Caenorhabditis elegans: one gene and its partner. The protein of the gene in region 2 purifies or fractionates together with the protein of the main gene of each other region. This does not show direct contact. Each region holds a gene or a part of one and is shown on either strand. Other genes may lie near its edges.

Region 1 (8,856 bases), on a different chromosome or scaffold from region 2:
AACTTTTAGAAGTTCGAAATCCAACTGATCAGATTCAGTATTTATTAGGTGATTAGTGTTATCACAAGTTACCGTTACAAAGGGGCGTGGTTTGGAAATGACGTCATCTGATGTGAAACTGATGGCGTTAGTCGACTAATATCTTATCTTATCAGACAAAACCTTTGCAATTGTCACGTAAGCAAGGCATTTTTGTAGTTTACAGTAATATCGGGACTTCCCGTTCTTGAAGTTTTGAAAATTGGAGATCGATCTGGAAGGGAGTTATGTACAGGCATCTAGTAATTTTGAAGAGGCAACTATTGACAATCTTTAAAGTTTTATTTTTAAAAATTAGATTTGATAGGTATTAAAGAAACACTCTCCTAGAAATTATAGATTCTTCAATTTTTCCAAACGTACAAAAAATACGAATTTTTCCATTTTCTCTAATCGCCTGCAATAGTGTAGCATGTTTCAAAAATTAAAAATCGTTTAAAATTAGTTTTTCATACGCAACGTATATATTGACAAAAAAGGCAAAGACCGAGGGCAAATAAATAACATAATAAAGTTTAAAAAAAACCACCATTTCAAACAAAATTAATATATATCAACAGGAAAACGATTTTTAAAAAAAATGCATCTATGACTTGTGCGTACTGCTCCAACCGCGAAAGTTCAAATTCACCGTACTTCGCTGTAGTTCGGAGGATTTGATGAGGAATGCCACGTCACCATCACGTGATAAACAACTCGAGTTTAGTGCCATTACGTCGATTGGCTGAAAAATTCTAGTTTAGAACGGAGAAAAGCAAAATTAGACATTGTGCAGGAAACTTAACCACTTCTCAGCGCCACCTATGCGTTGACCTTTCAGAATTTTCAGAAGGCAACACGTGCACACTTGGCGCGTGCTAGCGGCTGGCTTAAAAAACAACCAAAAACAAAAAAGAAATCCGTCGAACCGGATTCGAACCAGTGACCTAAGGATACCTGCTGACTCTACAGTCCTCCGCTCTACCAACTGAGCTATCGACGGCACGGAGGTGGACGGAAAAATGTGTCAATAAAAATGTTTGTTGCTTGAAAGACTTTCAATGCGTCTAAGTGGCAGATACGTAGTTACAATCGTATAAAACGGTTCCTGGCGGGACCTTTCTGTCTTTACTCACGTCTATAAACTTCCTCGACTCAAATGAAGAAGCTTTTTGAACAGAATGAACCCGTAGACTTCCATCGTTTGCTACCAAAACCACAAATGATTCGAAATTGTTGGAATCTGAATCTCAATTCATATTAAATGTTTTTTTTTCAAATTCAGGAAATCTCACTCTTTTTATTCAATATCCTAGCCACCATTCCATTTTTGATCTTCAGCCCTTCCAGCGCAGTGATCTTATAACTGTCGCGTTTCACCATCGGCTGACAATTATAGATTCGCAGCTGCTCCTCGGTGATGACGACGATTCGAGTGGATGCGGAGAACTGAAATAACCAAATAAATTGAGTATGAATAATTTCACGGAGTTAACTGGGGATACGCTAATGCCGCGGAGTCGCGCACCGGGAAATTTGAAAAAAAAACACATGGGAGACACGAAAAATTCTAGAATTTTGACTACATTCGCATAAACTAAAAACTGGCAATTTTGCAACTCTTTTTCATTCACACTCCAAATCTCAACTTACATATCCTTCCTCATTTGTGATATCTAGATTAACAACCGGTTGCTTGTGAGGAATCGAGAGTTTCTTAATCTGTTCCGCTTTGAACGTCATTCTTAGTCCAACATCATGTTCGCTGATTGCGTAAAAGTAGACAGAGCCTTCGTGGAGCCCCACAGCTATAATGTCATCTACATTTTTGTCGTCGAGCACCGGAAAGCGCATCATTCGGAGACATGTTACGGTTCCTTTGGAATCTGGAAATATTGAAATTTCAGGGTGAGATAGGAATTGCTTTTGATTTTTATTCAGAAGATTTGAAGATTTTGAAAAGCATGTGACCACGTTTAAGGCTTTTCACCTAATCTATGAGCACTTCAAAAAACCCCGTTTCAGATTTCCACTTACTCTCAGCATAGCAATCCAGCACTCCCAGCTCTTCCCTTGCTTCAATTGGTCTCTCCATGAACACCTCTTCCTCTTCAAAATCGTCAATTCGCTTTGGACTTGTCTCATGCTGCACATGATTTGAAGATGAAGCCACTGCACCTCCTGAATCCATTAATGTTTCAGTGCCCTTCTTTTTTCGTCGGAACGTCTTTCGAAGTGACTTCTTGAGACTTTTGAATCGTTGGAATTGGTTGGCACTGACATTACTTGAATCATCTGAAATGAGCGTAGACTTCGAAGATGCTTTATGTTAAAGGCGGCCGAGCTTCATGGTTTTGAAAACTGGTGGTTTCGATAATTGCTAATTTTCAAAATTGTTAGCAATTTCCAATCATCCCGGGGTCAGACTCCCCAATCTACAAACTTTGTTCTTTCCAAATTATCTGAAAACTCACTGTTGTCATCATTGAATGAATTCGCATAGACAAGATATCCAAAGTTTACATCAAGCATCACAATTCCAAAGTTACTTCCAACTGCCAAGCAGTGATACTTGTGAAGATAGACAATATCGGTGATTCGGTGGCTGGGATGCATTGAGAACACCAACGGTAGATCACTCTCGTTTTTAAGCCGTATTTGATAACCCGCATTGTACTTTAATTCTGCTTTCCTAGGCTTTAGCGCTCGTTTTCTCGTGTCTGGCGGAGAATTATTGCAGCTGATCGGTGTGGCCTCCCAATGTGTGAGAGTTCTCGCAGAATCCCAAAGTTCATACATTAGTACATAGCCACCTCGATTCGTTCCAATCACAATTCCAGATTTCGGATCAAAGTGCACACGGGTGATACACATTTCTTCGTCGTCATCAAACGGATCATAGAGGCCAATTTTGCGCACTGGTTTTTCAGGTTTCTCGTCGCTATTGTAGTAATTTGAATCTTCGTTCTAAAAGTTTACACACAATATTCACTGTTTCCTAAAATAGTTACTTACATCAAAACTAGATGCGCCGTCAAACTCCAATGAAGTGCGGATAACTAGCATCAAGGACATTCCAACTCCACCGGAAGACCATATACAAATATTTCCATTTGAATGACCACTCAAATAAACTTGTCGGTAAGAAGCTCGTTGATGGTTCGCGTCGGTGACTATCTTCTTTTGAAAGTTCAACGGCCAGTCTCTGGTTGACATCTGGTTAGTCTCCCAATAGGATTTGCTGGCCTGAAGAAAACATAATAAATGACTAAAATAACTATAAAAATTTAACAAGGATGCAAAATGTTTTTCAAGTCAAAAAGGTTTGCGCAACGTAAAAATTGTCGAATTTCAAGTTCAGAATTTTCTACAGTAGCAGCAGGTAGTTTTTCATTGTTGTATAGAAGTTTTTTTGTGGAGACATACTGAACAATATTATCACTTTCTGAATATTACTTTAGTCTTAATTGAAAGTTTTGAGAAGGTGCTCAAAAACTGACTCAAAAAGCCAATTTGCCGGTTGGCACAGTTACGCGGCACACTGCGACTCCTAGGCAGTTTTCGAACATTTTCTACATACGTGCATTTGAAGTTAAATTTTTTTAGAAAGTATAAATATTTCTCTATGTTTCTATATAAACTTGCAAATAAAAAATTTAGCACTACCATGACGAATTTTAGCACTACTATGAGAAATTACCCTTTCCAAAAGTTAAAAAAGAAAAACAAAACCTAACCGATTCCAGACGATTCCATACATTTTCCTCAATTTCAATAGCTCTCGAGTGGGTAGTTGGCGTACTATTATTAAAAAGGATTAAAGGATTAAAGGACGATCCGTTCTTCAAGTGCTATGCACTGCGGATCTGGGATTCAGGTACACTGCCTGGTGGTGATCCCTCTGGGCTGTAATTTAAGTCACGTCCTAGCCGGGGACTGTGGCCGATAATCCAGTCGTGGATTGCTCCACTTCCCAATAGAGGCTGGGTGAACCTAGGGGGTGAGGCCGGACTTGAACTCGTGACCTCCAGACTGCTAGCGGCCACCACTACCGACTGAGCTATCTGCCCTACTATGAGAAATTACCCTTTCCAAAAGTTAAAAAAGAAAAACAAAACCTAACCGATTCAAGACGATTCCATACATTTTCCTCAATTTCAATAGCTCTCGAGTGGGTAGTTGGCGTACTATTATTAATCGAAAGAAAATGTTTCGGCTGCATCATATTCAACGACTCCCTTTCCAAATCGATTCCAATGATCTCGCATTTTGTGCATATTAATACCACTCCACTTTTCTTGCAATCTTCTGGAACATATTCAAAATTAGGAAAAAAATAGTTCGAATAATTTTCAGTACCGTAACTACCACTGACACCAACAATCCCTACAATTTCCGATGAGAGCTCCAGTTTTTCAACAAAGTCGCCATGGCTAATTGTGATCAGATCTCTATCGTCGTACTTTCCAGAACTTTTGCCTCCTTGGTAGATGAGGAAGTTCTCGTTAGGATCCCTGAAATGAGGCAAATAATTATAGTAAATCCAAGCAGAGAAACTCCGAGAAGGCGATTTGTATGAAATTGACTTTATGAAAATGAGTTTTTATTTTTATTTTTGAAACAAAACCTTTATTTTGAAAACTTTAAACGAAAACTTACGACGCATCAGCACAAACAGAGAAATGTCGAATTTGATGGCAAGGATAGGGTCCAAATTGATTCGCACTGTAGACATTCACTTCTTGAGCACTTATCTGACAGTCTTTTCCAACTGTAAACTCCCATTTTGTGTATTTATTATTGCAAGAAATGCCAAAAGCTACATTTTTCTTCTTCTCGCTACTCCAGTGAAGTTTCTGTAGAGAACACATTTAAAAAAAGAAAAAAAAAGTTTCAACACACCTGTATAGCTTCATCCTCATAGTTCCGTAGACTGGTCTTCATGACAAACTGTGATTCGTTAAATACGCCAACACAACCGTTTTCCGCAATGAGCATCAAAATTGATGGCTTTTCCGGTAAGCAGGTTATACTGGCGAGCTCTGTGTCGTCAGGCAGCCATTTTTCAAAATCTTCAGCTTTGACGAGAACTTCTGATTTGAGGGTTTTGGATTTGATTCGGTATATTGTGTTATTCATGGCTGTAAAAATTGAAACTTTTTGGACTTACAAGCTATCAAAACCATAAATGCTTTCTGTTTTGCTCACGTCATAATGAAGCTTGATTGAAAATAAATTCCTGTTACGGTAAACCTAGTTTCCAGTTTTTCAATATTTTTTCACACTTATTTCGGAGTCAATTTGATAAAGTTGAAAAGAAAGTTTGGTTTGACTGAAATGCCATATTGCTGTAAATCTTACCATTTTCAATTTTTAATTGTTTTTTTTTCTCTGGGAAGACTTTTACGCTTTAGTTTGAAAATTAATTTGCACAACTATATCAACATCGTGCAATTTTTTTGAAACTAAGTTTCAATGAAAAACTTACAAAAAACTAGGGCAAATGTGTCATCTGATAACTTTTGGACATGCGTTATATCCCATTTTGATTTGTGATTTTCGTTAAATCGCAGTTCCTCCTTTTTTGTTATTACACCATCTGAAAAATATAATTTTTAAAATCTTTTAATTGAATTTACAGCCGATATTTTGCCGAAATTGTTCGGCGAAATTTTGAAAACATGTCGTTTGGTAAGTTTCAGAATTTGCCAGGCTTAACAAATTTGGATAAATGTGACTTAAAAATTTTTTTTTGTAGGACTACTACTACTGACTGAATGCTTGGAACACGTTAGATTTTTTATTAGGTTCTTTCTTTTCTATTAGTAAGTAACTTCATCTACAAATTTTTTAATATGAAATCAAATTTTTTTTTGTAAATTTGTAGCATGTGCGGCAAATTTTAAGAACTGCCATACATTCCTATTTTAGTATAATTTTAAAACGAAATAACCTTTGATATGAATTGGGATAATCAGCTGTCCATCACAAAGAACCAATGCAATGTTTGAGGATATGAAGAAAATGTGCTCGATTCTCGCTTTATTCTCACTGTCCTTGCTCAAGCTAACTGTCCATGAAGCTCCTCGGTAGCCGTAAAATGTGACTTCTCCGTTTTTAGATCCAATTACAACACATCCGTTGTGGTAGTCAAATGCTACGACGTCAGAAGTGAATCCACCGCGGTTTCCCTAAAATAAATAATTTTGAACTGATGAGCGGGGAATAAATTAGAAAATATTTCGAATTTGGCAATTATTGTTCAGTTGAAATTTGACAAGTTTTCGTTCCCAGTATAACTTTTTTAAAAATTTTTCTGATTATGTGCTATTCTACAGCATTCTTAAAATAAATTTTCTGGATGACCTAATGCAAATTAAAAGAACATTTAAACGTTTCAAAATATTTCAAATACATGTTCAACCAAAATCTAAACACATACCTCATCGAAAACCGCATATTGTTCTATGGCATGCTCCTCGGGTTCGTGATAAAACTTGGACCGGATAAATCGTAAGATGCTGCTCATATTAACCCAAATTCGAGGTGTCTAAACCGAAAAAAGTCACATAGAACCGTATAAGTGAACACGGAAAAAGGAAAGGAATAGACCCAAAGCGAGAGAGTAGGACGGGGAGAAGAGAAAGAGAGAAGCGAGAAAAGATCAGGTGAACTGAAGAGACGCCGAGTCGGAACGCACCCCTTGTTGTTTGCGCACAATTGTGGTGGGGTTGAGAGGGAAAAGAGAGGTGGGGGTGACTCAGTCATTTGAATGAATGTTGCTAAATGAACCGCACCAGTGACCGCTGGGTGGTCGATAGGTAATAGGGTGCCCTAGCAGGTGTTGCGAAATGCGCGAAGGGTGTAAACGTGTTGGACACGAACAGATTGCAAGTAATTCAAGGTTATCGTACCTATTGACCCAGATAGCTGCTGCTGCTACTGCACTGACCAAACTTAGAATTAACCAAACCTAATGTACATGGCAAATTAACAAGCAAACATAACTTTTGTTTACTTTTGAAGCGTTTTTAAGTTATACACAATGACTCAATTAAATTGAACTTGCCTGCTAAACATAAAGGCAAGGTCCTGATATTTGGGAAATAAGTGGCAAAATTAGAAAAAAAATTGAAGTGAACAAAATATAAAAACTGGGATCAATATTTATAGAAAAAAAACAGTTAATGAAAAACAATGAATATTTTAACTCCTGGGGAATGCGGAAATTAAAAAATGGGCGGCAGAAGGATTTTATGAGCTATAAAACATTTTTGGGGATCTCAGTGGTAGGAGAATTTATTATTATCATGAATATTCAATAGATATTACAGTGTCATTTTATTAGCAGGAGCGGAATTTGTATTTTCTCATAAACATCACCATATAATTTCTGACTTTGCTAAAAAAAATAGCACGCACTGACCCAAATAATTTTGGCACTGGCATAGATAAGTTTGGCACTGACCAAATGAACCTTCGCACTAATCAAATAATGATCGACACTGGTTTATACATGTAATTTTAATTAGGCGGTATTTACTGACCAATCATGAATTTGCCTAAAAAAAAGTTCGCAATTTAGGGCTTTCACGTAGGTGACGAAACGCCTGCAGCGCCCGTTTCACAACAACCGCATGCCTCGCGCCGCGAGCCGTGCTTCCTGTGTAGTGTGGCGCGGAACCCAAGAAGTGTCGGCCGCGGCGGAAGAACCACCGTTCGCACTAAGTGGAATGAGCATCAAGCCTTTGACTTCATGTAATTATGCAGAAATGAGGCAAAAGCTTGGCAGGTTGGAGGCCTGAAACCGCGCCTGCCTTCCATGGAACCGCACTTATGACGGAATGTTCGGCAAAAACTGAAACATGCACGGATCGGAGTGAATAACTGGAACCAACTTTCAGATTACCTTTTTGTTCATAAATGTCTCGTTTTCCAATTTCTTACTTTTCTCAACAATTCCTTCTTACAAGATGATGACTTTAGAAAGACTGAAAACGAATCTGCGACTAGTCAAACAGAAATAATTGATAACGATAGTGATTTTGTAATCATTCCCGCTTGATAAACTGTGCATTTTTCACTTTTTGGCAAAAGTATAGGTGTATATCATTCTTAAACTTTTTTATTTAGGAATGTTGCGGAATTTATTGCTTTTACTACTACCTTTACTGATTGAAGCAAAATTACCTCCATTTTTCTTGGGAAGACTAAATGGGAAAACATTGTTGAAGTAAGTAGATTTTTTGATGAAAATTTAATTTAATCTCTTTTTTGAATTCTAGTCACCATTTGGACCGGTTAACAGCGTCTGATGGGGCAAGCATTCAAGAGACTTACCCAAATTTGCAAGTTCATAATTTCACCCAGAAGCTGGATCATTTTGATCCATACAACACGAAAACATGGAATCAGGTAATTAATTCAAAGAATAGTTTTTTCAAACTGCCTTAATTTACAGAAATATTTTTACAATCCAGTATTCTCTAGAAACAACTCAATCATTTTCTTAATGATTGGAGGAGAAGGCCCAGAGAATGGAAAATGGGCAGCAAACCCAAATGTTCAGTACCTACAATGGGCTAAAGAGTTCGGAGCCGATGTTTTTGATTTGGAGCACAGATTCTTTGGAGACAGTTGGCCAATTCCGTATGTGCAGCATTTTTTTAACGAGAAGTTTTTAAGTTCAGTCTCTGAATAAAAATGAGTATGTAAGGTTTGGAAAATTGCCTAAAATCTTTCGCGCAACTTGTTAATTAAAGTGTGTTTATTTCACAAAAAAATAGCATTTATTTCTCAAAAAAATAGCAGATATGTGAAGTAAGTATCAGGGAAATG
Region 2 (8,265 bases):
CATGGAAAATGGCGGAAAAATGAGGATTTTAGGGCGGAAAACCCCAAAAATTGCAAGTTGCCGCCTGGAAAAACGTAAAAATTGGCGGTTTTCATGCAAAAAATTCGAGATTTTCAGTTAAAAATCAAAGAAAAAGGCTATTTTACGCATGAAAATGGTTAAAAAGTGCAATTTTCAACCGAAAAAACGTAAAAAACCAGAGATTTTTAACCGGAAAATTGGAAAATTGAAGAAAATTGCAGTTAAAATTATCGGAAAATCCCCATTTTTTCAGAAAAATTCACAAAAAAACTCGCAATATCCCGAAAAAATGCTATTTTCCGTCTTTTTAGTGGAAAAAATCATAAAAATCCCGATTCTTGCGATTTTCTACGCCAAAATTATCGAAATTTTGAACTTTTTCAGGCGAAAAATTCATTTAAATCCCATTTTCTGGCTCCAAATCTCACAAAAAATGTGATTTTCCGTCTGAAAATCGCTGAAAATTTCAAAAAAAACCAATATTTTCCAGGACGTCAACTATTCCTTCGTGACGCTACACTCAATCTCTCTGACGTCACACTTATTGGAGCACAAGATGAAGTCGAAATTGATGAGAGCCTCTTTGATAATGAGGTTTCTGGAAAAAACCACTGAAAAATCGATTTTTTACTGAAAATTTACGATTTTCTATTAAAAAATTGCATGAAAAACATGCAAATTCATTGGAAATTGTCGATTTTCGAGTTTTTTTCGGTGAAAATCCGAAAATTTTTTTTTCTTTTTTGAAACGTTCCCTTTTAAAACCTGGAAAAATGTAAAAATTCGCTAAAATCCCCATTTTTTCACTGAAAAATTAGACATTTTTTACTCAAAATTTATTTTTCCATGGAAAACTCTGTTTTTGAGCTAAAAAAAATGCAAAAAATCTGGATTTTTCCGAAGAAAAAGCTTCAAAATTTACAAAATTTGGCATTTTTGGCTGAAAATTCACGATTTTCCACTTTAAAAGTGAATTTTTTGTGATAAACTTCATATTTTCTATCAAAAAATTGAAATTTTCTCACTAAAATTCCGATTTTCTATGGAAAAAACGCCAAAATTCCCACATTTTTCAGTGAAAAGCTACTTGAAAACGCGAAAAATTGCAATTTTATTCCAAAAATTGTTCGAAATTTCGAGTTTTTCTCATAAAATTGATTAATTTCAAGATGAAAATTCGATTTTACTGCCTAAAATGATCAAATTTTCCGATTTTCAACATAAAAAACCTCCAAAAATCCCATTTTTTAGCCTAAAAAACCCCAAAAAATCTCAAATTTCCACTCAAAAAAACCCATTTTTTCCAGGAACTCGAAGGTCTTGAAATGGATTCCGAAGAAGAAGAAGAAGACGATGAAGAATAGGATTTCCCCTCAATTTATTGCATTTTTCTGTGATTTTTCGCCATTTTTTCGGCGAAAAATCCCGTAATTTATCCATTTTTTTGCCCCCCAGTTTTTGTTGATTTTCACGGTTTTTCGTTTCAATTTTTTCCATTTTTTTGCGTAAAGATTTGTTTTAGTTTTAACCTTTTTTTTTGAATTTTTCGCTGTTTTTATCAGCTTTTTTATCGATTTTTTATTGAAAATTTTTGGCGATGAGTCATCAGTTTTTATCAAACTTTTTTGGAGAGTTTTGTGACTCATTTTTACTCAATTTTCAGCGGAAATTTGGTGTTTTGAAGGTTTTTTTTGTAAAAATCGCAAAAAATGCGATTTTTAGCTTGAAATTTCATTTTCCGCTAGAAAAATGTTCAAAATTGCCATTTTTTGGAATTTTTATTCAATTTTTCTACTCAAATTTCCTAAAAATGTCTATTTTCCAACTCAAATTCAGTTTTTTTTTCCGTTGAAAACTGTTCAAAACTCTAACTTTTAAATTAAAATTCAATTTTTTCCATTGAATAATTATTTAAAATCCGATTTTTGATTAATAAATTCAAAAATTATTCACTTAATAATTTTTTCACTTAAAAAAGGTTCAAAAATGTGAAAAAATCCAATTTTCAGCCGAAAAAATCGATATTTCCCACGAAAATTGTGCATTATTTCCGGCTCAACGCGGAGCTGCACCTGTAACTTGTAATTGTGAGTTTTAATTTGCGAAAATCATAATTTTTCAGCTTAAAAGTATGGAAAACGTCGAAAAATGCGATTTTTCTACTCAAAAAAAGCCGGAATTTCCAATTTTCCAGCTGAAAACTGTTAAAAATCGCGTTTTTCAGCTCAAAAAACCCGAAAAATCCAAATTTTCAGATGTCCTACAACGGCTCCTACCATCAAAATCATCATTCAACACTTCAAGTCAAATCGAAATTTGATTCTGAATGGCGTCGTTTCTCAATACCAATGCATTCTGCGTCTGGTGTCTCTTACGATGGGTTCCGGAGGTGATTTTTGGCCATTTTTAGCCGAAAAATCGAAAAATTCAGCGTTTTTTTTTTACCTAAAATACGTCAAAACCCATGTTTTTGACGTAGAAAAACGTTAAAAATTGATTTCTCTACCCAAAAGTTACTGAAATTGTCATTTTTAGGCATAAAATCCCTTAAAATTCAGAAAATCGGATTTTCAACGATTTTCAGCTGAAAAATCCAAGGATTCGGCGTTTTTTGTCCTAAAATACGCGGAAAATGATTTTTTTTACTTGAAAAAATCAGATTTTTTCCGATTTTTACCTTGAAAACCCTAAAAAATCTATTTTCCAAACCAAACTTGGCCAAAATCGGCATTTTTAGGGCTAAAATCATGCGTAAATCGAATTTTCGCCATTTTCAGCCGGAAAATCGAAAAATTCGTCTTTTTTTTTGTGTTTTTTTTTACCAAAAACGAGCGGAAAATGATATTTTACCTGAAAACTCGATTTTTGAAGCAATTTTCCCGTAAAAGTTCAATTTTTCAAGTAAAAATCGATATTTTCAGCCTTGTCGAGAAGCTTCATCACCTGGAAAGTGTCCAATTCACACTGTGCTACAACTCGACTGGCGGTGATCTTCTACCAATCACAAATGACGATGTTAGTAGCGGAAAACTGAAGAAAATTGATTTTTTCAGTGAAAAAAAAAACGAAAAAATCGAGTAAAAATGACATAAAATTGATATTTTTCACTAAAAAATGCTAAAAATTCAATTAAAATGTCTCGAAAATTGATTTTTTCAGCTTAAAGTTAGTCAAAATCGATTTTTAAAACAGCTCAAAAATCGTTAAAAAATAAAAATAATAATAATAAAAAAATCGATTTAATATTCGGGTGTCTCCTACGAGGACAAAAAATCGATCGATTTGAAAACTCACAGAAAAGTCGAAAAAAATCACAAAAAATCAATTAAAAATTGATTTAAAAACTCAAAAAATCGATAAAAATCTCAAAAAAAAATCGATAAAAATCGATAAAAAGTCTATAAAAATCTGAATGTTAGTAGGGAAAACTGAAGAAAATTGATTTTTTCGGTGAAAAAATCGAGAAAAATCGAGTAAAAATGACCTAAAATTGATATTTTTCACTAAAAAATGCTGAAAATTACTAAAACATCACTTATCGATAAAAATCACAAAATTTCGCTAAAAAATCACTAAACATCTTAAAAAATCGATAAAAAGTCCTAAACTACAAAAAATTGATTTAAAAAAATCGAAAAAAGTCTCAAAAAATTGAAACAAAAATCACAAAAATTCGGTGAAAAATCCCCAAAAAATCAATAAAAATCACAAAAAGAATCGATAAAAAATTACAAAAAAACTCAAAAATCGCTTTAAAAAATCAATACAAAACCCCAAGAAATCGGAAAAAATCGATAAAAAATCGATAAAAATCTGTTGAAAAATCACAAAAATTCGGTAAAAAATCCCCAAAAAATCAATAAAAATCACAAAAAGAATCGATAAATTCCTAGAAAAATCCCAAAAATCGATAAAATCCCAAAACTACCATTATTTTTTTTGCAGAACCTCCGAAAATCGTTCGAATCGGCTCGCCCACTGCTCCGTTTGCTCATTCAACGCCGCGGTGAATCATGGGAAGAGAAATATGGTTATGGTACAGACTCTGATAAACGATGGAAGGGAATTTCATCACTTATGGCACAAAAACCACCGAAACGCAGTTATTCAATCTCGAATCCCGAAGATTTTCGACAGGTAATGGGTCTCACAGCGAAAAAAGTGGAATTTTTGAATTCAGCTCGCTGAGAGCTTCGAAATAAGTATAATCATGACCGGGTTACGATGGATTTGAAAAAAGTTGGGTCTCGCCACGAAAAATCGAAACCACAGTAATCCCGTTTCGTGATGGGACCCAAAAATTTCAAATTTCGCAGAACCTAGTCATGATTATACTTATTTGAAAGCTATTGATGAGTTGAATTCAAATTCCGGAAAAAATTTTGAAAATTTCAATTTTTGGTCCCACCACGAAGGAAATTTTCGCTGCGGGACCCAAAATTTTGGAAATCTTCAAATTTTCCGGAGCCCAGTCATGATTATACTTATTTGAAAGCTCTCGGTGAGCTGAATTCGGTTGAACTCATGAAATTGCAAAAATCTGGTCCCGCCACGAAAGTGCCAACCTACAGTAACCCCAATTTCGCGGTGGGACCCGCATATTTCAAAGTTAACGGAACCCATGATTATACTAGTTTTAAAGCTGACAGTGCTCCCAATTCAAAAATATTGATAAAAATCTCAAAAATTGGATCCCACCACCACGAAAATGCCAACATACAGTAATCCCATTTTCGTGGCGAGACCAACAATTTTCAAAGTTCGCGGAACCTAGTCATTCCATTATACTTGTTTGAAAGCTCCCAGTGAGCTGAATTCAGATTTCGCAGTAATTTTCTAAAATTTCGTCACTTTTCGTGGCGGGACCCAAATTTTAGGAGAATTTTCAAAATTGGCAAAACCTAGTCATGATTATACTTATTTTGAAGCCCTTAACGAGCTGAATTCAAATTTCCCATTAATTTTTAAAAATTTTCAATTTTGCAGGTCTCTGCAATCATCGACGTGGACATTGTGCCAGAAGCTCATCGCCGTGTCCGTCTCTGCAAGCACGGACAAGAACGACCACTTGGATTCTATATTCGGTATCGATTTTTCTGGAAATTTCAGATTTCTTGCCAGAAAATCCCAAAAATCTGCAATTCTTTTTTCAGTGACGGAACATCGGTTCGAGTGACAGAACGAGGCGTCGTCAAAGTTTCAGGAATTTTCATTTCCCGGCTTGTCGATGGTGGGCTCGCCGAGTCCACAGGCCTTCTTGGTGTTAATGACGAGGTTTTTAATGGAATTTTCAGAGTTTTTAATCTAAAAATTCCGGTTTTCAGGTGCTCGAGGTGAATGGAATTGAGGTTCTCGGAAAGACGCTGGATCAGGTCACTGATATGATGGTCGCCAATGCTCATAACTTGATTATTACTGGTATATAATCCGGAAATTTGAATTCAGCACGCCGAGAGCTTTGAAATAAGTATAATCATGACTAGGTTAAGATTATTTTGAAAAAAATTGGGTCTCACCGCGAAAATTGCGAGAACCCACTTTTTAAAAAATTTCATTAGAAAATTTGAATTCAGCACACCGAGAGCTTTCAAATGCGTATAATCATGGCTATATTCTGTCAAACTTGGAAAATTCGGGTCTCGCCAAGAAAATGATAAACTACAGTAACCCATTTTCGCGATGGGACCCAAAATTTTCGCATGTGACGCAATCTTGTCGTGTTTATACTTATTTGAAAGCCCTTGATGAGCTGAAAACGAATTTACTAAAAAATTTGAGAAGTTTCAATTTTTGGGCCCGACCACGAAACTGATTTTCGCGATGAGACCCAAAATTTTGGAAAAAATTAGATTTTCGCCAAACCTAGTCATTATTATACTAGTTTTGAAGCTCTTGGTAAGATGAAATCGAAAAATCTAATTGAAATAGCGAAAATTGGGTATCACCACGAAAATCGCTGCCTACAGTAACCCAGTTTTCGTGGTGGGGTCCGAAAATTTAAAATTTCGCATAACCTAGTCTTGATTATGTTTATTTTAAAGCTCTAGGCGAGCGGAAGTTGAATTATTTAACAAAAATCTAAAATTTCAATTTTGGGGCACGACCACGAAATTGGCTTTCGCGGTGGGACCCAACATTTTGGAAAATTTTAAATGTCCGCCAACCTAGTCATAATTATACTTATTTGAAAGCTCGGTAAGCTGAAATCGAAAAATCTAAATGAAATCGCGAAAACTGGGTCCCCCACTAAAATCCCAACCTACAGTAACCCAGTTTTCGTGGCGGGACCCAAAATTTCGGAAAATGTTCAAAATAAACATAGCCTAGTCATGATTATACTTGTTTGGAAGCTCTCAGCGAGCTGATTTTAAATTCTGTAGTAATTATAAAAAACAAAATTTTCAGAAATTTTTTTTCGAAAAAAAAATTTCAAATTTATTTTTTTTTTGAAAATTCAAAAAATCCCAATATTTTCCAGTAAAACCTGCCAACCAACGAAACACACTGTCACGAGGACCGTCACAACAAGGAACACCGAACGCCAGTGAGATGTCGGCCGCCACCGCAGCCGCTACAGGTGGAATTCAGCGCCCGATGAAAATGAACGGAAGCTCCGACGGCAGTTATCATCCGAAACAGCACGACGCAAATGATTCGGACAGTGGAGAGGACTGAAAAACTCTTTTCAGCCATTTTTCCTCGATTTTTTCAGAAAAAAAAACCACAAAATGTGACCATTTTTATACATAATTATATTATTTATATTCTCGCTAAAACCACACACACACACAACCAAAACCGCTTAATTTATTTATTTTCCCCTTTTTCTCCTAATTTTTAATCAAATTTGTCGGCTTTCTCTTCACTTTTTTGCGCACAATTTTCACTTTTATTTCCCCCGTTTCTCGCCCCAAAATGTGCCTTCCTTTCGCCCTTTTTATGTGATTTTTCCCCTTCAGAGCTCTCTGAGCCCATACTTTTTTTTTCGAACTTTGGCTCAAATTTTTTGACAACAGACACGACATACAATTTTTCCCCTGAAATTCACATTATTAGTGAGAATAAATTATTTATTTCAAGCTTTGAGAGATCAGCATTGTGAAAAAAATGTTGCCATTACGGGGACTCGAACCATGGCCTTTTGACTGGAAGCTTTTTCGTCGAAAATCCCACTGCTCCATTTGGACATTTTTGACAATTTCCCAGAAATGACATAATTTCGGGTAAATTTGAATTTTATTGAGTTCTTGACGATTTAAGGCTTTAAAAACTGAGAAAATCTACATTTTCAGCCGATATTCCGCTGATTATTCTCAAATTCTTATTTTTCAAGGTTTTTCTCTGCTGTTTAGGAATTGATATTATAATTTTTGGGTTGAGAATTGAAAGTTTAGCCTAACAACACTATGGAAAAAAGTTTGCCACAGTGGAGACTCGAACCACGGTCCTTTGACTGGAAGCTTTTTCGTCGAAAATCCCACTGCGCCATTTGTACAGCATTTTTGAAAAGTGCCCAGTAATGAAAAGTCTGTAATAAAATGTTACCTTTGAGTGATTTTTTGATGATTTAATGTTATAAAATCTGTGCAAATCTGAAGTTTCAGTTGATTTCCTACAAGAATGAGAAAATTCGTAGTTTTCCGACATTTTTACACTTTTCAGCTTGGGAAACATTGTTTTTTACACTCAGCGCTCTTGAATTAGTCATATACACTCTAATAAAAATATATGCCACTATGGGGACTCGAACCCTGGTCTTGTGAGTGGTAGCCGTCGAAAATCGCACTGAGCCACTCGGACAAATTTCTGAAAAACAGTTTGAAATTCAAAATTTTGCCTTTATACTCGTATTTAAACGAGTTTGAAAGCAACTTCCAAACTTAAAACCTCTGAAATCCGGCGTGTTTTCAGGTGATAATTCTCTTACACACTCATTTTCCGGTCAGTTTGCCCCAGTGACACATGTCAGTCAGTTTGTCAAAATTTGCAACACGTCGCTCGTAAACACACGAGAAGTCGAGAACACTCAAATCCCTTTCCACAACGCTCCACTTCTCACTCACTATTTTTTTTTTCGGCGGCCGTTAGGACCCCAACAGCGAGGAGAGAGAGGGGAGGCTTCATATATTGGCCCCGCTCTGTTGGGTTCTCATAAATTTTTGAGCACAACAATACACCCCACCCGGGTGGGGTTAGTGCTTCCCGACAATTTTCTATTTTTACTCCTTTTTTTCTTGCTCAGAA

What was found. The genes of interacting proteins can lie anywhere in the genome.
Region 1: the proteins of par-6 (region 2) and lgl-1 purify together in Caenorhabditis elegans (affinity purification with western blotting; 3 studies listed by BioGRID, with this or other methods). This does not show direct contact.

Annotation. Positions count from the first base shown.
Region 1 is NC_003284.9:864,452-873,307, forward strand, and holds the start of lgl-1 (Lethal giant larvae homologue 2 domain-containing protein), read right to left. Parts: upstream 6,639-8,856; 5' UTR 6,548-6,638; coding exon 6,461-6,547; intron 6,210-6,460; coding exon 5,972-6,209; intron 5,618-5,971; coding exon 5,507-5,617; intron 5,160-5,506; coding exon 4,921-5,159; intron 4,875-4,920; coding exon 4,678-4,874; intron 4,533-4,677; coding exon 4,378-4,532; intron 4,327-4,377; coding exon 4,142-4,326; intron 3,265-4,141; coding exon 3,034-3,264; intron 2,986-3,033; coding exon 2,493-2,985; intron 2,314-2,492; coding exon 2,056-2,313; intron 1,905-2,055; coding exon 1,672-1,904; intron 1,468-1,671; coding exon 1,314-1,467; intron 1,262-1,313; coding exon 1,155-1,261; intron 1,030-1,154; exon of another isoform or gene 906-1,029; intron 764-905; coding exon 626-763; 3' UTR 1-625. Other genes in the region: Putative serine protease F56F10.1, read left to right, coding at 8,154-8,251, 8,304-8,433, 8,480-8,667.
Region 2 is NC_003279.8:12,667,350-12,675,614, forward strand, and holds par-6 (Partitioning defective protein 6), read left to right. Parts: upstream 1-2,030; 5' UTR 2,031-2,108; intron 2,109-2,276; coding exon 2,277-2,410; intron 2,411-2,942; coding exon 2,943-3,036; intron 3,037-3,966; coding exon 3,967-4,158; intron 4,159-4,905; exon of another isoform or gene 4,906-4,971; intron 4,972-5,007; coding exon 5,008-5,105; intron 5,106-5,174; coding exon 5,175-5,295; intron 5,296-5,345; coding exon 5,346-5,439; intron 5,440-6,499; coding exon 6,500-6,696; 3' UTR 6,697-7,098; downstream 7,099-8,265. Other genes in the region: T26E3.4 (RWD domain-containing protein), read left to right, coding at 512-615, 1,329-1,385. UniProt on the Caenorhabditis elegans protein: Necessary for apicobasal and anterior-posterior asymmetries associated with cell adhesion and gastrulation during the first few cell cycles of embryogenesis. Required for localizing/ maintaining par-3 at the cell periphery.